Linked DNA regions of Saccharomyces cerevisiae S288C. The protein of the gene in region 1 purifies or fractionates together with the protein of each later gene. This does not show direct contact. Each region holds a gene or a part of one and is shown in the gene's direction. Other genes may lie near its edges.

Region 1 (6,804 bases):
GCTTACGAATTGGGTTCTTATTAAACTTCACCTGCATCGCTTCTCCATCGGATCTAACCTAAAAAAAATAAAAACCCCCCGGTAAGCACTTGATCACGCCTACAAAATCACTTAGTGAACAAAGGAAAATAGATTGTTTTTAAAGTTGTGAAGTAGTGAACTATGGCTTCCCACATACACATATATACTGATACAGATGCAATATAACATTTAGTGTTAGAAAAATTTGCTTCTATCTTGATGACATTGAATACTCTTGGACGTAAAAAAAGACATCCGATTAAAGTGGAGGTAATCTACAAGAAAAGTTGTTCTTCCCCTCATTAGAAATCTTGCAATGGTCACGGCCGTCGCTATCAAAAATCAACGAAGTGAAGTGACTCTAATTTTTGTCTATTAATGTTGCGATGGCCTTATTTGCTATTCTAAGGTTTTCGCGAAGTATCAGGTATGATAAAAAAAATCATATTTTTGATCGCATCAAGAACAATCCCAATGGTAAAAACGGTAATAAAAAAGAGTCCATAGTCATATACCAATGCCAGTGTGTAAGAACTGTCACGGAACCGAATTTGAGAGAGATCTTTCCAATGCTAACAACGATTTAGTTTGTAAAGCTTGTGGTGTTGTCTCAGAAGATAATCCTATCGTCTCTGAAGTTACATTCGGTGAAACAAGTGCAGGTGCTGCTGTAGTACAAGGTTCTTTTATCGGTGCAGGACAAAGTCATGCTGCATTTGGTGGTTCTAGTGCTCTAGAATCTAGAGAAGCCACATTGAACAATGCAAGAAGGAAATTACGCGCCGTTTCTTACGCATTACATATCCCGGAATATATCACAGATGCTGCTTTCCAATGGTATAAGCTTGCATTGGCTAATAACTTTGTACAAGGTCGTAGGTCCCAAAATGTTATCGCTTCATGTCTTTACGTTGCATGTAGAAAGGAAAAGACGCATCATATGCTGATCGACTTCTCTTCAAGGTTACAGGTGAGTGTGTATTCCATAGGAGCCACATTTTTGAAAATGGTAAAGAAATTACATATCACAGAATTGCCGTTAGCGGATCCTTCCTTATTCATTCAACATTTTGCCGAAAAATTGGATCTTGCTGACAAGAAGATCAAAGTGGTAAAAGATGCCGTAAAATTGGCTCAAAGAATGTCCAAGGACTGGATGTTTGAAGGACGTAGACCTGCAGGTATTGCCGGCGCATGTATTCTACTAGCTTGCAGGATGAATAATTTGAGAAGAACTCATACAGAGATCGTCGCAGTTTCACATGTCGCCGAGGAAACTTTACAGCAACGGTTGAACGAATTCAAAAATACAAAGGCTGCTAAACTTTCAGTTCAAAAATTTAGAGAAAATGATGTGGAAGACGGTGAGGCTAGGCCTCCCTCCTTTGTGAAGAACAGAAAGAAAGAAAGAAAAATAAAGGACTCTTTAGACAAAGAAGAGATGTTTCAAACAAGTGAAGAAGCATTGAATAAAAATCCAATTTTGACGCAAGTATTAGGAGAACAAGAACTGTCTTCCAAGGAAGTCCTGTTTTACTTAAAACAATTTTCAGAAAGAAGGGCCCGTGTTGTGGAGAGGATTAAGGCTACTAATGGTATAGATGGTGAAAATATATACCATGAAGGTTCTGAAAACGAAACAAGGAAACGCAAACTTTCTGAAGTTTCTATCCAGAACGAGCATGTTGAAGGGGAAGACAAAGAGACGGAAGGGACTGAGGAAAAAGTCAAGAAGGTAAAGACAAAAACATCAGAAGAAAAGAAAGAGAACGAATCTGGGCATTTTCAAGATGCCATTGATGGTTACTCTCTAGAAACAGACCCATATTGTCCTCGCAATTTACACTTGTTACCCACAACGGACACATACCTTTCGAAAGTTAGTGACGACCCAGATAATTTAGAAGATGTTGATGATGAGGAGTTAAACGCGCACCTATTAAACGAGGAAGCTTCTAAATTGAAGGAAAGAATTTGGATTGGTCTGAACGCAGATTTCTTACTTGAACAAGAGAGTAAACGTTTGAAACAGGAGGCAGATATTGCCACAGGTAACACATCAGTGAAAAAAAAACGTACGAGACGTAGGAATAATACTAGAAGTGACGAACCTACAAAAACTGTGGATGCAGCAGCAGCTATCGGATTGATGTCAGACTTACAAGATAAGTCTGGTTTACACGCTGCATTGAAGGCAGCTGAGGAAAGTGGTGATTTCACAACTGCTGATAGTGTCAAGAACATGTTGCAGAAGGCAAGTTTCTCCAAGAAGATTAATTACGACGCCATTGACGGTTTGTTTAGGTAACGTTTAGGTAATCAACCCTAGGAAGGAAAAAGGGAACGGAAATAAAGACGCAATACATTTGGTTTTGGCTAAAATATATAGAACATGAAGTGCAAAAGAATTAAAGGTGCATTAACTATTTAATATGTATGTGATTATATAAATCTAAAATCTCAATGTCGTAACAATCACTGTTCCATTAAAAAAACGGGTAAGGTGGAAATTTCAGTTTTTTTTTTTTTTCTTTTCTTTTGCTTGATCGGCTAAAAAATGAAAATTTTAAACTCATCTCATCGCAGATAACCATAACACGCTTAACAGATAGAACGTTCTACCACTAAAAAAACATATCAAACGTCACTTTTTTGAATAAGTAATAATAGTTAAGGAGGAAGCACAAGACGCACTGAATATACCAATCAAGGGCATCAACAATGGGTAGAAGAAGTAGAGCAGCTATGCTCCCAACAAATATCATTCTTTTACAGAATTTGGTAAAGCGTGACCCAGAGTCCTATCAAGAGGAGTTTCTTCAACAATATGCACATTATGAATCGCTAAGGGACATTTTTATGTTAAATGGGCTTGCTGGAGGTGATTCTGCAGCTGCCACTAATGGGCTCGATGTAGGAAATGGATCTTCTACAATGGCAGGTACTAACGGTACCACCATGAGCACTTCAACTTCGCAACTTATTGAATTGGTTGGCTTCGTATCTCAAGTCTGCTCATGTTTTCCTCGTGAAACTGCAAACTTCCCGTCTGAATTAAAGCAGCTTTTGCTGGAACACCATAAGTCCTTGCCATTTGAATTGAAAGAAAAAATCTTAAGTTGTTTGACGATGTTAAGGAATAAGGACGTCATTACTGCTGAGGAATTAATTCAAAGCTTATTTCCTTTATTGGTTGCTTACTCTTCCCATGGTAATTCACTCGGCGTTAATTCACACGCCAAGGAATTGAGGAAAATCATTTATACAAATTTAATTTCTTTATTAAAAAGTTGTAATACTAATGGTAAAAATCAAAAATTGAACAAATCTACGCAGGCCGTTTGCTTTAATTTGTTAGATCAACCAGATTCCCAGGGAATCTGGGCCACAAAATTAACCAGAGAACTTTGGAGACGTGGTATTTGGGATGATTCAAGAACAGTAGAAATTATGACCCAAGCAGCATTACATCAGGATGTTAAGATTGTCATGTCTGGTGTGATGTTTTTTTTGGATGCTGACAGAGAACGTGAAGAAAATTTTGAAGAAAATTCCGAGGATGAGGATGGGTTTGATTTAGATGCATTAAGGCATAAGATGCAAGTCAATAAAAAAACGGGTAGACGTGGTAAGAAGCTGGAGAATGCCATAAAAACTGTGAAGAAGAAGAAGAAGAACGGACCGGGTGCTCCTCAAGGGTATTTAAACTTCAGTGCTATCCACCTTTTGAGAGATCCACAAGGATTTGCCGAAAAATTGTTTAAGGAACATCTTTCAGGCAAAACGAAAAACAAATTTGACATGGAACAAAAAATATCTTTGATGCAGCTGTTATCAAGGTTGATTGGTACCCATAAGTTAATTGTTTTAGGAATTTATACTTTTTTTTTAAAGTACTTAACTCCGAAACAAAGAGATGTTACAAGAATTATGTCCGCATGTGCCCAAGCATGTCATGATCTTGTCCCTCCTGAAGTTATAAATGTCATGGTGAGAAAGATTGCAGACGAGTTTGTATCAGACGGTGTTGCCAATGAAGTCGCTGCTGCAGGCATTAATACCATTAGAGAAATATGCTCTCGTGCACCTTTGGCTATCGATGAGATTCTACTACAGGATCTGGTAGAATATAAGGGGTCTAAAGCTAAAGGTGTCAATATGGCTGCCAAGTCATTGATAGCGTTGTATAGAGACGTGGCACCAGAAATGCTAAAGAAGAAGGATCGTGGTAAGAATGCCGCCATGGAAGTACAAGAAGCCAAGAAAGGAGGTAAAGATTCAAAAAGACCGCAATTTGGTGCCGACAACAGTGTTCAAGGGATTGCTGGTATCGAACTGTTAGCCAAATGGAAGAAAGAACATGGTGAAGAGAGTGAAAATGAAGACGCTGATGCCAACTGGGAAGTAGATGTCGATAGCGAAGAAGACGATGTCGACGGTGAGTGGGTCACCATGGATAGTGATAAAGAATATGACGTTGATATGGAAGATAGTGACGATGAAAAAGACAATGCTAAGGGCAAGGAATCAGATTCCGATTTGGAACTAAGCGATGATGACGATGAAAAAGAAGTGAAGGATGAGCAAGAAGATGCAGATATAGATCCCGAAGCTGCCTTCCGTGAAATTGCTTCTACACGTATTTTAACTCCGGCAGATTTCGCTAAACTACAAGAATTGCGTAATGAGGAAAGCGTTGCTAAAATAATGGGTATCCACAAACAAGACAAGCGTGAAGAGTTAGTTGATGCAAGTACACTAACAGGCCCTATCAAATACAAACAGTCTCGTGAGGAAAGATTACAAAAGGTGTTGGAAGGTCGTGAAGGTAGAGACAAATTTGGTAGTAGACGCGGTAAGCGTGACAACATGCGTTCTACTACCAACAGAGAAAAAGAAAGAAGGAAGAACTTTGTTATGTCTATTCACAAGAGATCTGTTAGAGGTAAACAAAAAATGTCACTACGAGACAAGCAAAAAGTGTTACGTGCACACATCACCAAACAAAAGAAGAAGGGGTATTAGACGACATCGTAGCCATATTAATATATACATACATATACACAGATACATTCATCTCTCCAACTGTATGAGGACTTCTCTACCTTGAATGGAACACCAAAGCCAGGTAGATACTAAAAAAAACTCTTTTTATGTCTTGGTACAGAGAAAAATGCTCCAACTGGTATCGATTATGTGTTCATCGGGAATTCTCGGCTTTTCCCCGCAGCGGCGGAGTGAGTATTCTAAAAGTTGGTTGGCCTTTCAATTGCCGCGTAGTCAACATCTTTGAGGTTTTATATAAGATCGACGTTTTCCTTATCAGCACTTTGACGTTTTCTCTCGAAAAATAACAGTGACTATAGAGCGATAGTCCAGTTTTTTTGTAACTGACTTTTAGGTAGTTAGGATTAATAAGGATTGAGTCAATACAATCGAAAAAAATACTGAAGCATTGCAACTGAACAAAATGTACTCAAGAAAATCCTTATCCCTAATTTCAAAGTGTGGGCAATTAAGCAGGCTAAACGCGCAAGCTGCTTTACAAGCAAGGAGACACTTGTCAATTCATGAATACAGGTCAGCTCAGTTATTGAGGGAATACGGTATTGGTACTCCAGAAGGATTTCCAGCGTTCACTCCCGAAGAGGCTTTCGAAGCAGCCAAGAAATTAAACACTAACAAACTGGTCATCAAGGCGCAGGCATTGACCGGAGGTAGAGGTAAAGGTCACTTCGACACCGGTTACAAAAGCGGTGTTCACATGATCGAAAGTCCTCAGCAGGCAGAGGATGTTGCAAAAGAAATGCTCAATCATAACCTGATTACTAAACAGACGGGAATAGCGGGGAAGCCAGTATCTGCTGTATATATAGTGAAAAGAGTAGATACAAAGCATGAAGCTTATTTATCTATTCTAATGGACAGACAAACCAAGAAACCGATGATCATTGCGTCCAGTCAAGGTGGTATGAATATTGAAGAGGTGGCTGAGAGAACCCCAGATGCTATAAAGAAATTTTCAATTGAAACTTCAAAGGGATTGAGCCCACAAATGGCCAAGGATGTTGCCAAGAGTCTCGGTTTCAGTCCCGATGCACAAGACGAGGCAGCAAAAGCTGTTTCCAATTTGTATAAAATATTCATGGAAAGGGATGCTACACAAGTGGAGATTAACCCTTTGAGTGAAATTGAACATGATCCAACCCACAAAATCATGTGTACAGACGCCAAATTTGGGTTTGATGATAACGCATCATTCAGACAGGAAAAGATATATTCCTGGAGGGACTTATCACAAGAAGATCCTGATGAAGTTAAGGCAAAGAAGTATGATTTGAATTTTGTTAAGTTGAAGGGTAACATTGGATGTTTAGTCAATGGTGCTGGTTTGGCTATGGCTACTATGGATGTCATCAAATTAAATGGAGGCGATCCTGCGAACTTTTTGGATTGTGGTGGTGGTGCCACCCCTGAGACCATCAAACAAGGTTTCGAATTGATCTTATCCAATAAGAACGTAGATGCAATTTTCGTCAATATTTTCGGCGGTATCGTAAGATGTGACTATGTTGCCCTGGGGCTGGTAGAAGCCGCCAGAGAACTAGAAGTTAGGGTCCCCATTGTGGCACGTTTGCAAGGTACCAAAGTAGAAGAAGGCCGCGACATTATCAATAAGTCAGGCGTGAAGATTTATTCGTTTGATGAATTAGATCCTGCTGCTAAAAAGGTCGTTGAATTGACCCAAAATTAAGCTTCTCGAGAAAAACAAAAGAGTTAATA
Region 2 (5,888 bases), 290 kb from region 1:
CATATGCCAAAAACTTTCAACCTGTCCAGTGATGACTTGTCCAATATCTATGACATGTTTTACCAAAGTATAGAAACCTACAAAATTAGTATGGGAACGGGATCATCTAATATGGGTTTCGAAGTATTCATTCAGTTCTTGAGTAAATTCTGTGACTCCTGTAGACCGTGTGAAAAGGACAAAGATCCAGCTTTCCGGAAACAAAAAAGGAATTTTCTGCAAAGGTTATTTGATAACTGGGATTCTGCTCATATCGGCGAGTTGACATTGAACGATGTGGTAACAGGCTTGGATAAACTGGTAACTGTTGATCTTTTACAAGCTATAAACTATTTTTTCTCTTTATATGATACAGATGGCGATGGTGAATTGCATAGAGAAGAAGTGCTACAGTTGTCGGAAGGGCTGCTACTGCTAACGGAACCTTGGAAGAGCGGTAGATATGTAGATCTGTTAACTAAAAAGCGCATTGAAGATGATATTGCTGAAAACATCATCAAGGAAAGCGGTGGAGAGATAGCCACTATGAACCAAATCGAGTTACCAACTGGGGTTACTATTGATGAGGAAAAATATAAAGTTGAACAAGCAGAAAGATACCTAAAAGCTGCAAGCAATTTCCTACAAAGATCTTTTGAATATGCTAAAGCAGTTGATCTCGCGGAGGAGGTAAACTTGATTGACTTGTCTGATGATGAAGGCGAAGAAAAGCGAACGGTAAAACAAAAACAACTGGAAAGCATAAAGGCAAATGCAGCCCTAGATCCCACCCATCCAAAAGTAATAGATTTGCCAACATTTAGAATGATCATCCTCGCAGATGAAACTTACGAGCTTTTCTTTTCTAATACTTTACGATCATCTGTTCACGTCGACGAACATGTCAACATTGATAACAAAAATAAAGTCCTCAGAAGTATGTTTGACGGTATATTGGCAGACGGCAAAAGAGTTGCTGAGCAAGTTCGTCGTCGTGTCGATTCGGTGGCAACTAGGAGCAGCATTGCTTCTGTAGAGAGTACGCCAACAGCCGCTGCAAGTTCAATAACTACCAAAGAAGAAAAGTACGATGATCTAGATGATTTCACGTCAGAGCATCAACCCGAGAATGAAGAGTTATTACAAAGTTCCTGGTTTGAGATCGACGATGCCAATGAAACTAGCACTAAAGCCATACAAGAAAGGTCTTTTGAGCCTTTGTCGGCAAATTCCTCGGAAGAGAAGTCCAACCTTATTGAATTTGAAGCATGAAATCGTGCTTATCAATTTTATGTCACCCTAAAACATCTGTACGTGTTTATATAGATATTTAAAGCAATATTTGCCAGGATTTGGTGAAGATCCCTCATATAACTCTCATAAATGCGGATTTTCGGAGCGAAAAAAGCCTAAATTCTTGTCTGGAAGTATAATTGGCGGTGAAATAGAAAAGGTGGCAATCACGACTGAAAAGGGTACAGCTTTCGCAACTGACATATACAGACAGTGAAAAGTAATAAATTGCCCAAGTGTGAACATGTCAGGTGTAAGCTCTGTTATGCTCGGTCTTCGACCTGCTACAAGAATTTTTTTCCGCAGTAATATTTCGGTTTCACCTTCGAGGACTTTTGTATCATATATTGGAAGATCCCAGAGCACGTCGATACTCAAAAATGCTCCCAACTTAGAGGACAATGTCACAAATCTTCAGAAAATTATACCGAAACGGTTCTTTTCTCAAACATCAATTTTGAAATCAAGGTGGAAGCCTATATTCAATGAAGAAACTACTAATCGATACGTACGTTTGAACAGGTTTCAGCAGTACCAGCAGCAGAGAAGCGGCGGCAATCCTCTGGGCTCTATGACTATTTTGGGGCTCTCTTTAATGGCAGGAATATATTTTGGCTCCCCTTATTTGTTCGAGCACGTTCCACCCTTTACGTATTTTAAGACGCATCCAAAGAATCTGGTATACGCGTTATTAGGCATCAATGTTGCCGTATTTGGACTATGGCAGCTACCCAAATGCTGGAGGTTTCTACAGAAGTACATGTTGCTGCAAAAGGATTACGTAACTAGCAAAATTTCGATAATCGGAAGTGCGTTTTCACATCAAGAATTCTGGCACTTAGGTATGAACATGCTAGCGTTGTGGTCCTTTGGTACTTCACTCGCAACAATGTTGGGAGCATCCAATTTTTTCTCCTTATATATGAATAGTGCCATTGCAGGTTCTTTGTTTTCGTTATGGTATCCAAAACTGGCACGCCTAGCCATTGTCGGACCTAGCTTGGGTGCCAGTGGAGCGCTATTTGGGGTTTTAGGATGTTTTTCATATCTATTCCCACACGCTAAAATTTTGCTGTTTGTTTTCCCAGTCCCAGGTGGGGCTTGGGTAGCATTCTTGGCTTCAGTGGCATGGAATGCAGCTGGTTGTGCTTTAAGATGGGGGTCATTTGATTACGCTGCGCATTTAGGTGGCTCTATGATGGGGGTCTTGTACGGATGGTATATAAGTAAAGCTGTAGAGAAACAAAGGCAGCGTCGCCTTCAGGCTGCTGGTAGGTGGTTTTAATCACTTAAAAAAAGACACATTCTCATTCGAAATATTGTAAATACTGCTATGTCTTCTATGTACTTAATCTTATTTATGCATTTGAAAAATATTTCAGCCTTATCGTGGTGGTACATGTACAAGAAAATTCATAGGCAAAAGAATATATAGAATAGAGCGTATGTGTTACTTTTCTAAGTCTTACTTCCTGTTTTTGAGTAGTCCCTCTTTGACAACAAAATATGCATTTTTGGATTCCGCGGCAAGTCCAGTTGCTTTCCAAGATCCGCTAACTTCTCCTAGCTCAGCATCCTGCTTTTGGTGGCTGATGCCTTCAAGTAGCTTTGTGTAGTTCAGCTGTTTCGTATTTCTTTGCACCAACCGAGCATCATATTCCTTGGTGTGCTTTTCACCTTCGACAGGTATGTTATGGAGTTTGTTGATGAATGATAATTGCTTGGCAAGTCGCATTTGAATTTCTTTAATATCTGCTCCTTCCAAGGGAAGACCTGATAACCGCAACAATTTTTTTACAGCTTCAGCAGACGGTGGCTCTAGTTTTTCCTCTTTAGTGTTTATGCCTAAATATTCGTGGACGGACCATACAGGTCTTGATAAATAATCCCTTATTTGATTCATATTTTCAAATTTTTTACCAATCTTTGCCCCTCCCGTAGATACGAACCGATGACTTCCATCATGGCATAACCCACCCACTGTATGTGTTCTGCATAGACGCCATGTTTTGTACATCGTTCTAGCACTATGGGTAAGTGCAAATAGTTCGATCTAAAAGCCTAAATGCTAGTCACTATTACCTCCTTGATGTTATATTTACAGAATAATGTCATGTCGTCTGTGGTGACTATTATTATTGCCTGAAAAAATTAAAGAAAATTTTTTGCGATGAGATGAGATGAGAAAAAATGAAAAATTTTGGAAGGTTAATTAGAGATGTGTAGTAAATCCTGCTGGTGGAATACATTTTATTCCTGTAGAAAATAGTATAGTAACAGCGGTATCCTACTTATACAATGAGAATCAAGAAGAAAAACACCAGAGGTAACGCAAGAAACTTTATTACCAGATCTCAAGCTGTGAGAAAATTACAGGTTTCTCTTGCTGATTTCAGAAGATTATGTATATTCAAAGGTATCTATCCTAGAGAGCCAAGAAATAAAAAGAAGGCAAACAAGGGCTCTACTGCACCAACTACTTTTTACTATGCTAAGGATATTCAATATCTAATGCATGAGCCCGTTTTGGCTAAATTTAGAGAACACAAGACTTTTGCTAGGAAACTAACAAGGGCTTTGGGTAGGGGAGAAGTCTCTTCTGCTAAAAGGTTAGAGGAAAACAGAGATAGTTATACTTTAGACCATATTATCAAGGAGCGTTATCCAAGTTTCCCAGATGCTATAAGGGATATTGATGATGCTTTGAATATGTTATTTCTTTTCTCTAATTTGCCCTCTACCAACCAGGTTTCCTCGAAAATTATCAATGATGCTCAGAAAATCTGTAATCAATGGTTAGCCTATGTTGCCAAGGAACGCTTGGTTCGTAAAGTGTTTGTATCCATTAAAGGTGTTTATTATCAAGCCAATATTAAGGGTGAAGAAGTTAGATGGTTAGTTCCATTCAAGTTTCCAGAAAACATCCCCAGTGACGTTGATTTCAGAATTATGTTGACCTTCTTAGAATTCTACTCGACTCTATTGCATTTCGTCCTATATAAGTTATACACCGATAGTGGGTTGATTTATCCGCCAAAATTGGATCTTAAAAAGGATAAAATCATAAGTGGTTTGTCATCATATATTCTAGAATCCAGACAAGAAGACAGCCTACTAAAACTTGACCCAACTGAGATTGAGGAAGACGTAAAAGTTGAAAGTTTGGACGCATCGACATTAAAGTCTGCCTTGAATGCCGATGAGGCAAATACTGATGAAACAGAAAAGGAGGAAGAACAAGAAAAGAAACAAGAAAAGGAACAAGAAAAGGAACAAAATGAGGAAACGGAACTAGATACTTTCGAGGATAACAATAAGAACAAGGGTGACATCTTAATACAGCCAAGTAAGTACGATTCTCCTGTTGCTTCTTTGTTTTCTGCATTTGTTTTTTACGTTAGCAGAGAAGTTCCGATCGATATTCTTGAGTTCTTGATCTTATCTTGTGGTGGTAATGTCATCAGTGAAGCTGCTATGGACCAAATTGAAAATAAGAAGGATATTGACATGTCCAAGGTCACTCATCAAATTGTTGACAGGCCAGTTTTGAAAAACAAGGTAGCTGGCAGAACGTATATTCAGCCACAGTGGATATTTGATTGTATCAATAAAGGCGAATTGGTACCTGCCAACAAATATCTTCCAGGGGAGGCTCTTCCACCTCACTTAAGCCCATGGGGTGATGCTATTGGTTACGATCCAACTGCTCCTGTCGAAGAAGGCGAAGAAGAAGAAAGTGAAAGTGAAAGTGAAAGTGAAGATCAAGTTGAGGAGGAAGATCAAGAAGTTGTTGCTGGAGAAGAAGATGATGACGATGACGAAGAGCTACAAGCTCAAAAAGAGCTTGAATTGGAAGCACAAGGTATCAAATATTCTGAAACTTCAGAAGCTGATAAGGATGTCAATAAGTCAAAGAACAAAAAGAGAAAGGTGGATGAAGAAGAAGAAGAAAAGAAATTGAAAATGATAATGATGAGTAACAAACAAAAGAAACTTTACAAAAAAATGAAGTATTCTAATGCTAAAAAGGAGGAACAAGCTGAGAACTTAAAAAAGAAAAAGAAGCAAATTGCCAAACAAAAAGCTAAACTGAATAAACTAGATTCCAAGAAATAGTTTTCTCTTCTTTTCCAATAGCCTCTCAAAAATTTTGTCTTTTAATTTAACATCTTTATTACTTTATAATTCCTCGGTATAGCAACATTAGATATATAACTACACATTTTTGTTTGTAGATATAGAAATACCTGTACATTAAAAGTGGTTACTGTTGTTCTGTATAACTATATGAGTGAATTTTGTAAAAATATGCCCAGGTGCCAATGATTATATTAGAATATTTCCATGTGCTACCCTCGAGTCCATTGACTGTCTATCGGGTACACTTAACTCTATATAGCCTTGTAGTTCCTTTTTTAAGTTCATCAAGGCAGTCTCTGTATAGTTTATACGATCGATATCGGTCCCCCTACTAACATTGATGTATGCTTTTAAAAGGAACCCTCCGCTTGTTATTTGTGAATTGCCTGCTTCTTCTATTTGCCAAATTTTTTGTAACTCAAGTATTAAACCATGCTTCATAAAAAATTTCACACCAATTGTAAGATACTGAAATT
Region 3 (5,942 bases), on another chromosome or scaffold:
GCTGGCTGTACTGAAGAAGCGACAGTTTCTAAGTTTTCTATATTGCTATGTTCACCCTCAGTGAGAAGGTTTCTGTCATTCACCATATTTGCGGTAGCATTTTCATTATCAAATGGAGAATCAATATGAATAGTAGTTGTAGATTCAGCATCCGACAGTGATCCTGAACTATTATCAAGTTCATTATCGGTCGAATCATCATTATCCTCTTCGTCATCGTCATCATGTTCATCAAAACTTAGACCGAAACTGTAGCAAAGAGTTTCTAAAACAAAAGTCCAGGAGCTGGCCTCGACTAGTTCATCAATTTTATCACTGTAGTCAACGTTCAAATAGCCCACCTTAATCTTCAATTCATTGGGCCTTCTTCTTCCAAAACTTGTAAAGCATCTGTAATCTTGAAATAGTATGGATTTTTTTGCTTCCATATTACTATTTGATACAGCAACAATACCCAAATGTTCATGAATATTTTCGGGATATAGAGTATTTTTCAACCAAATAGGTGAAAATTGTGTCGAGGAACTCTTTGATTTGAGATTTGAGATGGAATCTAGTGAATCTATCTTGTGTAATACCGATCCATAGTCCAGAACATAATTATTTCGATCAACGAAACAAAACTGCAAACGCGCAAATTTAATGGTTAAAGCTTTTAGACTGTTATAAACAACAATTAAACTGTCTTCTTCCTTCAATTTCGTAAAATCGATCTGTAAGATTATTGCCAAATTATCAGGTTTTTCTCGTTTAAGGGAAAGAATTGAGCTTATCGTGGTTAGAACAGATTGTATACTGTCGACAGTACTCTGCCTAGAACATTCTCCTGAATTTAAGGTGAATCCCCTCCTTATGATTACAGTATCATTATCGTGCACATTTCCAACTTCAACAACTTTGTTAGGATTGATTAAACCTAGAAAGGTACTCGTCTCGTGCCTACCATTACCAACATCTTTTGAAAAGTTCTTTATAATGGGAAGAATAGGCAGGGTCGAAGTGATATTGTCCTCATTGAATACAAAATCCTGATTCAATATACCTGATATCCATTTCTGTACAGTTGTGCTTTCGTCAGAATTTATATTCTGAACAATGTAAAGATCTGATAAATCGGCGCAATGTTGTTTATTTAAGGTGCATTTGAGTACTGAAGCTTCGAGTGTAGTCATTCTCAAGTTGGCAATAGGTGTAAATACTTCTAAATTCTTTAGTCTAATTTCCAAAACATCAACATCGTTATCCACTTCTGCTATTACAAATGCGTCTTCAAATAAGAAACACCAGCATTGTATATATCTCTGACCATCTTTGGAAATCATCAATTTGTCTACCAACCTTAGTAATCCATAGTCCCCGTCTATTCTCCAATCCTGCAATTCTTCCTGGAAATTGTTCAAAAGAATTTGAATAAAATATGACCTTAACAGCGGCAACGTTGTTTTGGTTTCGTCATCCTTTGCTCTTACCGAATTGGAAACAGCAGAAATAGAATCATTAGCTGACAACGCTACAGAGGTGTCTGCTAAGATAGAGTTTGCTCCGGACGGAATTCTTCTGTGCCCCAGGGGTGAATGTAAAAATGTATAGTTTGATTTTTTTTGTGGAATTTGGTTTCTTTCCTTGGGGGGTGCAGCCAATATGAGATTTGGGTTTAGACTTGGAGCTTGAGAATATATCGTTTGTCTTTCAACAGGTGTATAGGATAACCCAAAAGGAGGCAAGAGTGGTGAATAAGGAGGAAAGCGGGACTGAGGTGTGATTGATAACTCAGAATCAGGAATCTTATGAATCAAAAAATCAGAAATTAGAATATCCTTTAGTTCATCATTTTCTGGAATGCATTGAACGGCTTTGTTAGTATCTTTTTTACATTTGGTACAAAAAGGAAATAGCGCACGAACGTCTGCCTTTGAAGTGGTGCCAAAAGAGATAATAAGACATTCTTGGTGACTTAAGTGGCCACATGCAAGCTCTATAATTTTCTCTCCCTTTCTTCTGTTAGAAATAGGCTCGTCACATAACGTACAAGAAGCATTCAAAAAGGATTTTTTAATAGAGGTTCTTTGTATTGGATAGCCAAATGGAGCGACCTTGGGTGGTATATTATCTGATAAATTTTCGGCCCTTGGGGGCTCATTTGCTCGGGATAGGTTACTATTACTTGCGTGAAAGAGATTGGAATTAGGTCTTGGCAAAGACGATGTTCTGTGAGGGTGTTGTGGCAAATAATCAGTGGAAACCGTAGAAGGTGTATTCATTAGGTTACCGTCTTCATTGCCAGAAGAGTTTGAAGAAGTGACCCTAGATTTGGGTGAGAACGAAAATGTAGAGGAGGAAATAGGAGAAGGTGAGAATCTTTTCTTTTTAGCACTACTTCTTTGGAACCTGGCTAACTTTTCCGTCCATTTTTTTCCTCTTGACAATGGGGATAGAGTACTGGGCTTCTCTAGCTCTATTATTTGGTTGGGAGTTCTCGACAAGGTACCACTATATTGTGTCGAGCTACCAAAATTGTGAAAAGGGGAAACTATATTGTCTGTAGGAGTTTCCATCATTTAAAAGTTGTTTCCGCTGTATCCTGTATCTTCCTTTTTTAGCGCGGATGCTAGATGGGTTAAAACAGTTTTAAAATATTTTCAAATTACTTTTTTATGCCTTTCTTTTGTCGTCAACTTTTCGAGGAAATTCTCGGTATTTTCTTTAGCTACTATCGCCTTTCATATTTTGATGCAGAAAAGTACATGATGTGTAAATTAACAAGCTACATATCGCCGCACCCAAAAAAAAAAAAGAAAAGAAGGGAAATTGTTCAAAATTATGACAGGTTACCTATGGACATGTGTCGTCTAATCACTACCTTTATATTTTTTAATTAATTCATGTGCACAGGCCTGCTTTCTACTATTGAGCAATACGCCTTCTAAATGACTCTCCTACTTCAAAAATGTATCAGAGTAGAACTGCGGAAAGATCCAATATTTAACGCTTCTTCTTCACTCGAAATATTTCTGTCAGTTTTAGAATCTGTTATATATCCCTTTAAAGGAAACTTGATACTTCTAGATTTTCATCTTGTCGATGTTCAAACAACGTGTTATCAGAGAAACAGCTCTATGAGAAATCAGCTGATGTCAGTATTCTGTCAGTCACTTCGTGAATTTACATTGACTGCTCTTTCGTGCAATTCATACTGTATTATTATAGTTGCAACTAGATGGCAAAAAATTGATAATGCCCTAAAAATGACAGGCCGGTAACCCTAAGCTTTTTTTTACCCGGAGAGGGTCATGCCTCTGTGAAGCTTTTTTTGCTTTCTGAAAAAATTTTACCGAAGTAAAGAAAAATTTCAGCAGAAGAGATGAGATGAGCTAAAGCATCGTGTTATTCAAAATACTTTTAAGAAAAAACCCGACCCGACTAATATTGCTAAAACTATCATGGCTCTAGCTATCTCCCACGAGGATACTCAGATTTTGCTAAAGGACAAAAATATTCTACAGGAATCGGTCTTGAACAAATACAGAACTGCTGGACAAATCGCACAAACTGCTTTGAAATATGTTACTTCTTTGATCAATGATTCATATCACTCTAAGACCACACAGCGCCAATTAACCGTGCCAGAGCTATGTTTGCTTACCGATTCTTTTATTTTGACCCGGTTGGAACAATATTATAAAAACAAAGTTAATGAAAGAGGTATTGCCATTCCAACCACTATTGATATCGACCAAATTTCTGGTGGATGGTGCCCCGAAATAGATGATACTCAAAATTTGTTAAACTGGAATAAGGGGAAAGACTCCACTTTTGCATCATCTGTCACTGGGACTTTGAGACCGGGGGATTTAGTCAAGATTACACTAGGTGTTCATATTGATGGTTACACCTCTGAAGTTTCTCATACTATGGTTATTTACCCCGTTGATGAAACCAAACCTATTCTTCAACCCACTGGGCCACTACTAGGTGGTAAAGCGGATGCTGTAGCTGCTGCTCACATTGCTATGGAAACAGTTGTTGCTTTATTAGCCTGTGCTCTGACTCCAGAAAAGCTTCCTGCCTCACTGGGAGGAACTTCAAGTGGTATCACAGGCCAATTGATTAGAACTATAGTGGATACTATTGCCAGATCTTATAACTGTGGCGTTGTTCCTGGTTCTCGTGTAAGAAGGATTAGAAGATTCCTGGCAGGCCAAAACGAAGGTATTGTTGCCGAAAGGGAATATAAGGGTGTTGTTTGGACAGAGTCCCATCAAGAAGCAGATTTGCTATCTAATACTGATGCCAAGGATTTAACAGTGGTAGATCGTGGACAATCGACTCCATTCACTAATGTTTCTGCTATTCCAAGTGATGATTTCGTTGTTCAATCAGGTGAAGTGTATTTAATTGATTTGAAAATGGCATCTTTGGAGCATTGTACCAAAAAGGGTTTAGTAACTTTAGAAACCGTTGACTCTTACACAGGTAAATCTCATAAGGCTGGAGAATTGATTGCAAGACCCGGTGCATATGTTAGAGATTTTGCTCAAACCCATATTCTTAAATTAAAAACTTCTAGACAATTATTAACTAAAATCGATAAACAAGGCGTTTATCCATTCAAGTTATCTCATTTATCTTCTAACTTTCCTTTCGTTCACGAAAATGAAGAAGAACTCCAAAGCTTAAAGAAAGATTTGAAATCATTTAGACTTGGGATGAGTGAGATTTCCAACAACTACTTATGTGTGGAAAGTCCAATACAAATTGCTAGATGGGTTCCATGGGACCATATTTTAAAGGCTACCAATCCAAACGGTAATTTAAGTTATGATGCAACCTCTACATTAACATTACCTGGGCATGAGTTACCTTTACCAAAATTGGGTGTTTCAGCCATCAAGCTTAAATCCTTAATGAATTCAACCAAGGAATCGATTTCTTTACCAGTTGCTCGTGAATGTAATACCATCGTATTATGTGACTCTAGTGTAAGTACAACGGACAGACCCGAATTATTGAGATTAACTGGTGGTTCTAAGACCTGTCAACCGAGCTGGATTCACTCTCAGCACGAATTAAATCCACAAGATTCAATTGTTCAAGGGATCTTTCAATTAGCTACTTTGGCCAAGGATAAGAGGTTCGGTCTATTATTAAAGGAAACGCAGCCAATGAAGCAGAAGAGTGTTGAGACATCAAATGGCGGAGTTGAAGAAACCATGAAAATGTAGGAAACTTCATCATTTCTAAAGCTAGTATATAAATAATATAAGTATATCATAAAATGTAAAATAGAATATTATAAAAAAAGTCAACCTAGCTGTACTAAAACCGCTTGGTTCATTTGCTCAGAATCTTGCATTATAATTACATTTTATTTGCTATACAGATGAGATGGAAGATTAAATATCTCACGCCTGTTTCGCCATGCTTTTGTAACACCGGCGGATTGAGAGACATGGGCTTCTAATATTAAATCATGTCATCGTCATCGTCGATGTCATCATCACCAATTGACAAAGATGAGCCGGGTGCTCTGAAGTTAGCAGGTTCTTCCACAAACTGGGAAAAATGAAAAACAATAAAGGCAACCCCTAAAATAAAAGTAAACATTCCCGCCAATATGTTGTAGATACCGCCGAAGCTGATTATCAGACTTAGTAAAATATAAGATAAACCCCTTCCAAGAAAACTAAAGTAAAAGGAAGCATACCTGTAAAGATTTGACGGAACCTTGAACTCCAGATAGACGATAGGTACGGAGAGTGCCAGTCCGTAAACTGCCAAGAGGAAGACGTTTAAATTGGTGAAAATATACGTCAATTGTGAAAGGGCAGCAATAATGTCTATGCAGCCAATTGATATATTTGCAATCTTGAAGAATTTTGGAGGAATAACTGACATCCTTTCGTTTGTGATCCCTTGTGGTTATTTGACTTTGTTTATTGTCC
Region 4 (5,656 bases), on another chromosome or scaffold:
AATGCACAACTTGTTAAAAAGTTAAAAGATGCTCACTATTTTTTGGTATACTCCGGTAACACTTTTGAGTCTAGTGGTGTATATATGTTTGCTGCTCCTGAATTATTAGGTTGTGACAATGATACCATCTTAAGAATTTTGCGAAATAAATCCATTGGCTGTGATTTGGTCCCAAAGCTTGACATTGGAAATAATTTGAATGTGTATGATATAACAACAAAAGAAACAGATTTGAACATTCTAGTATCGAAAGGGGAGGATTCCAAAGGAATTCCTTACTACCGAGTAGTAGCAAATTCGTCAAGTGATTTGGACAGGCATGCTCATCAGTCCAAAAAGAAGAATTTTTCAACAGACCCTTTTGATCAGCACCTTGATGAAAAGAACAATGAAGTTTTTGAATTGGAAGTTGCTTTGAGCTCATTGGGTGCACTAGTTGTACTATATCCTGGAGAGCCAGTAGTTTGGGATGGACCAGTATATAAGCTTCCAGGTAACAACCTTTTTGCATCCAACGAAATGGATTTAGGGAAAATTGGTAACCCAAATACGTTGATTTTACTCAATCAAGGTTCTAATTATGCACTGACTTATCAAATCGACAAGTTTAATCAAACGGTAGGTGATTCTGTTTCATTCATAGAGAAACGTTGTTCACTCAATTCAATTGAATCCTCCCTACAAAAAATCAATAAGGCATATTACAAACTTACTTATACAGTATTGAACAACTACAAAGGAATTCTAGGTAGCTTTATGAAGCAATGTCCGGGAAATGAGTTGTTAAATTCGATATTCATGTTTGGAAGGGATTTTGGAAGAAGTTTCCTTAAATATAACGCCTTTAGCTCAAAGAGGAAGTACGTTATCATCTTTCTGATGGTTAAATTAGGAATGAACTGGTTGAAATTCCTTGTTGAAGAGTGTGATCCTACCGATCAGCGAACTTTCCGATGGTGCGTTCTTGCAATGGATTTTGCGATGCAGATGACTAGTGGTTATAATATCCTGGCGCTGAATGTAAAGCAATTTCAAGAACTGAAGGAGAGGGTATCAGTATGTATGTCATTATTAATTTCACATTTCGACGTTATGGGTGCACGAGCCACTGAAGCTGAAAATGGCATGCAACAGGCAAGATTGAATATTGATACTGAAGAGAATATTGATGAAGAGGCCACCCTAGAAATAAACAGCAGGTTGAGACTGGAAGCTATAAAGACGTTGGAAAAGACTATGAAGAGGAATCCCAGGCAAATGGGTAAGGTATTGGATGCTACAGATCAGGGAAACAAATACCTACTATCGCTAGCATCCTCATTATCGAATGTATCAATGAGGTGGCAAAAAAGAAGCTTCATTGGCGGTGGAACATTTGGACAGGTATACTCTGCAATTAATCTGGAAAACGGTGAAATCTTAGCTGTTAAGGAAATAAAGATACACGATACCACAACAATGAAGAAGATTTTTCCCCTGATTAAAGAAGAGATGACCGTATTGGAAATGTTAAACCATCCTAATATTGTCCAGTACTATGGTGTCGAAGTACATCGCGATAAAGTTAACATCTTCATGGAATACTGTGAGGGTGGTTCTTTAGCCTCGTTATTGGATCATGGAAGAATTGAAGATGAAATGGTAACACAAGTGTACACATTCGAACTATTAGAAGGTTTGGCATATTTGCACCAATCTGGCGTGGTGCATCGCGACATTAAACCGGAGAATATCTTGCTGGATTTCAATGGAATCATAAAATATGTGGATTTTGGTACGGCACGTACCGTTGTAGGATCTAGGACTAGAACTGTGCGGAACGCAGCCGTTCAAGATTTTGGAGTAGAAACAAAGTCCCTCAATGAAATGATGGGGACACCGATGTATATGGCTCCAGAGACTATTTCAGGCTCGGCAGTTAAGGGAAAACTTGGAGCGGACGATGTATGGGCATTAGGATGTGTTGTGCTAGAAATGGCCACAGGTAGACGACCTTGGTCTAACTTGGATAATGAATGGGCCATCATGTACCACGTTGCTGCAGGTCGAATACCGCAACTACCCAATAGAGACGAAATGACTGCAGCGGGAAGAGCCTTCTTGGAAAGGTGTTTGGTTCAAGACCCCACTATGAGGGCTACTGCTGTGGAACTACTGATAGACCCTTGGATGATACAAATCCGTGAAATAGCATTTGGCAACTCAGAGAAAGATCAAGTACCTATCCTAAGCTCATAGAGTGGTCAACGTCTAAAAATATGATATACTACGATATATAATGTAATGTAATTCAATAATGGTGATGAAGGCAAGATTTCATTTAGAGCTGTTACCCGAGAAACCGGTGAAAAATTTTAAAATGAAAAAAAAAAAAAAAATGCGATGAGCTTCAAAAAGAGTATCTTTAAAAGACATATATCACAAGATTTTTATATTTGTAACCTCGATAAACACACACTAACACAATATACAGATGTCCACCCTGATTCCTCCACCTTCTAAGAAACAAAAGAAAGAGGCTCAACTTCCCAGAGAAGTAGCTATTATTCCGAAAGATTTACCCAATGTTTCAATCAAGTTCCAAGCTTTAGATACTGGTGACAATGTAGGTGGCGCCCTGAGAGTTCCCGGTGCTATCTCCGAGAAACAGTTAGAAGAACTTTTAAATCAATTGAACGGTACTTCAGACGATCCAGTGCCATATACCTTCAGCTGTACAATTCAAGGTAAGAAGGCCAGTGACCCTGTGAAGACGATTGATATAACAGATAACCTATATTCTTCATTAATAAAACCAGGCTATAACAGTACAGAAGATCAGATCACGCTACTGTATACGCCAAGAGCAGTTTTCAAAGTCAAGCCGGTAACTAGAAGTTCATCAGCCATTGCAGGTCACGGTTCCACAATTTTGTGTTCTGCCTTCGCACCACATACGAGTTCTAGGATGGTAACCGGTGCAGGTGATAATACTGCAAGGATTTGGGACTGTGACACCCAAACGCCAATGCATACTCTAAAGGGTCACTACAATTGGGTTCTCTGCGTTTCCTGGTCCCCCGATGGAGAAGTAATTGCTACGGGATCCATGGACAATACCATAAGATTATGGGACCCAAAAAGCGGTCAGTGTCTAGGTGATGCTCTCAGAGGTCATTCCAAGTGGATCACTTCTTTAAGTTGGGAACCTATACATCTTGTGAAGCCGGGCTCCAAACCAAGATTAGCTTCATCTTCTAAGGATGGTACTATTAAGATTTGGGACACTGTGAGCAGAGTTTGCCAGTATACGATGAGTGGTCACACAAATTCAGTGTCTTGTGTCAAATGGGGCGGCCAAGGTCTATTGTATAGTGGCTCTCACGATAGAACCGTACGTGTATGGGACATCAATTCGCAGGGCAGATGTATCAACATTTTGAAGTCGCATGCGCACTGGGTTAATCACTTATCTTTATCTACAGATTACGCATTGCGCATTGGTGCATTCGATCATACAGGTAAGAAGCCTTCTACACCAGAAGAAGCCCAGAAAAAGGCATTGGAAAATTATGAAAAAATCTGTAAAAAGAATGGAAATTCAGAAGAAATGATGGTTACTGCAAGCGATGATTATACCATGTTTTTATGGAACCCACTAAAATCTACCAAGCCTATAGCAAGAATGACCGGTCACCAAAAATTAGTCAATCATGTGGCGTTCAGCCCTGATGGTAGGTATATTGTCTCAGCGTCTTTTGATAACTCTATCAAACTTTGGGACGGTAGAGATGGTAAGTTTATCTCCACATTTAGAGGGCATGTAGCCAGCGTATACCAGGTTGCGTGGTCATCGGACTGCCGACTACTGGTGTCATGTTCCAAAGATACCACGTTGAAAGTGTGGGATGTAAGAACTAGAAAACTTTCTGTTGACCTCCCTGGTCATAAAGACGAAGTTTATACCGTCGACTGGAGTGTCGACGGTAAAAGAGTGTGTAGTGGTGGGAAAGACAAGATGGTAAGATTGTGGACGCATTGAGTTATGTGCAAAGACAAGTAACATACATGCACATATAAATATTATATAACTGTGATATAGAACTGCATTTTTTTCTTTTTGAATATTAAATATGATGGTGTCGCAAGGTCGATCTATAATGGTCATCGCGTACGAATGGCTTGGTATGAATTTAAAATATGGTACTATAAGCAGTATAGCTCCAGCAAGAAGGAAAACCTTTTGAAAGAAGTGCCCGTTTACCTAAAGCAACTTACTCCAAGGTAGCGTGTGAGCAAAACTATGATCAGTTCGTGTGTTACTAGATGTTTTGGTAGGGGTAAATGCCTTCCAGGGCCTGCCACTGCCTCGATATACCAAACGATAAGATGTATATCCACTAATTCAAATAAAGCTGCTGAGGCGCCAATATTTCCAAAGCTGGAAGACGTGAAGATGCATGAGCTCATAGGAAACAACAATTTTGGTAAAAAGACCTACTACGTGGAGAGAAGCAGGACCGGAAATCTACCGGTGTATTCCGCTTATAAAAATGGAGGTAACAAGATTATCACGGAGATCAGAAAGATTGAAGGAGATGTAATTCAACTAAGAAATGACTTGCAGGAGCAACTGCCTTTCATACCCAAAAAATCATGGTCTGTGGTGATGCAATCGAAAAAAATTATTATCAAGGGCAATGCAGTAGAGGCTGTCAAAAGGGTATTAACCAAGAAATTTTAGGTATCGCTAATGTATAAAAAAATAATTGTCATGTATATATATTAATTAAAATCATAGCCATGTGGTCATCAAGCCATCGAAAAGAAGTTGCTTACTTGTGTCTTAATGAAACCGTATGAGGCTTTTCGTGCATGCCCTTGTAGGCAATGAAACAAAGGCCAAGAACAGTTAAACACATCAAGGCTCTGGAAATTGGGTGGTTTAAATCATAGGCGGTGGTTCCAGTGGAGGTGGTTAAAGGTGTGTAGGCTTTATCGTTACGGAAGATGTTTTCCAAAGTGGAGCCAACAGACACATCGCCATTTCTAAACTTCTCGACTTTTTCTGTGTACGCAGCGTGCAAATCTAAGATGTTACTAATTTTTAAGATTTCTAGAACGAAATACAGGAACCGTAATTCATGCTGAGGCTTTCCATATTCGTCTGTTTCTGTGTATTGAATAGCATCCATTAGTTGATCTAGACCAGAAGTTATTTGACCAAACACGACACTTTTGCCATCCAATTCCTCATTTCCATCGGCTTTAGTGGTGATGATGAATTCCGAGGTGTTAGAATCAGGTCCAAAATAGGCCATTGCGAGTCTTTCAGGCCTGTCATGTTTTAAGTAAAAGTTTTCGTCATCAAATTTGGGCCCATAGACGGTGAAAGGACCCACATCTGGGGCAACCACACCACCCTGGATATACTTGTTAGGGTAAACCTTGTTGATTTTGGTCTTACGGTACGAGTAAGTATGTATATCATTGGGATCTTTCCCTTCGATAACTGCCTTAACACCATGGGCCAGCATAGCAAAGTTGTTCACAGTTTTGGGCACGACAGTACCGTACAACTCAAAAGTCAGATCCGCCTCTTTCATCGACTTCGAAACGGGATCAAAGTATTCGATAGTGATTATTCCACGATGTGTGGCGGGGGGACTGGGCTCAT

The links.
Region 2: the proteins of SDA1 (region 1) and NOP7 purify together in Saccharomyces cerevisiae (affinity purification with mass spectrometry; 11 studies listed by BioGRID, with this or other methods). This does not show direct contact.
Region 3: the proteins of SDA1 (region 1) and ARX1 purify together in Saccharomyces cerevisiae (affinity purification with mass spectrometry; 11 studies listed by BioGRID, with this or other methods). This does not show direct contact.
Region 4: the proteins of SDA1 (region 1) and RSA4 purify together in Saccharomyces cerevisiae (affinity purification with mass spectrometry; 5 studies listed by BioGRID, with this or other methods). This does not show direct contact.

The regions. Positions count from the first base shown.
Region 1 is NC_001139.9:978,007-984,810, reverse strand, and holds SDA1 (Sda1p), read left to right. Parts: upstream 1-2,742; coding exon 2,743-5,046; downstream 5,047-6,804. Other genes in the region: transcription factor TFIIIB subunit BRF1, read left to right, coding at 539-2,329; LSC2 (succinate--CoA ligase (GDP-forming) subunit beta), read left to right, coding at 5,492-6,775.
Region 2 is NC_001139.9:691,847-697,734, forward strand, and holds NOP7 (mRNA-binding ribosome synthesis protein NOP7), read left to right. Parts: upstream 1-3,570; coding exon 3,571-5,388; downstream 5,389-5,888. Other genes in the region: GTPase-activating protein MDR1, read left to right, coding at 1-1,251; rhomboid protease PCP1, read left to right, coding at 1,517-2,557; GTF1 (glutamyl-tRNA(Gln) amidotransferase subunit F), read right to left, coding at 2,738-3,289; SRB5 (Srb5p), read right to left, coding at 5,599-5,888. UniProt on the Saccharomyces cerevisiae protein: Component of the NOP7 complex, which is required for maturation of the 25S and 5.8S ribosomal RNAs and formation of the 60S ribosome.
Region 3 is NC_001136.10:654,966-660,907, reverse strand, and holds ARX1 (putative hydrolase), read left to right. Parts: upstream 1-3,440; coding exon 3,441-5,222; downstream 5,223-5,942. Other genes in the region: STE5 (Ste5p), read right to left, coding at 1-2,558; YDR102C (uncharacterized protein), read left to right, coding at 2,928-3,260; TVP15 (Tvp15p), read right to left, coding at 5,464-5,895. UniProt on the Saccharomyces cerevisiae protein: Probable metalloprotease involved in proper assembly of pre-ribosomal particles during the biogenesis of the 60S ribosomal subunit. Accompanies the pre-60S particles to the cytoplasm.
Region 4 is NC_001135.5:239,170-244,825, reverse strand, and holds RSA4 (Rsa4p), read left to right. Parts: upstream 1-2,473; coding exon 2,474-4,021; downstream 4,022-5,656. Other genes in the region: mitogen-activated protein kinase kinase kinase SSK22, read left to right, coding at 1-2,238; mitochondrial 54S ribosomal protein mL49 IMG2, read left to right, coding at 4,283-4,723; peptidylprolyl isomerase family protein CPR4, read right to left, coding at 4,815-5,656. UniProt on the Saccharomyces cerevisiae protein: Involved in ribosome biogenesis. Required for processing and efficient intra-nuclear transport of pre-60S ribosomal subunits.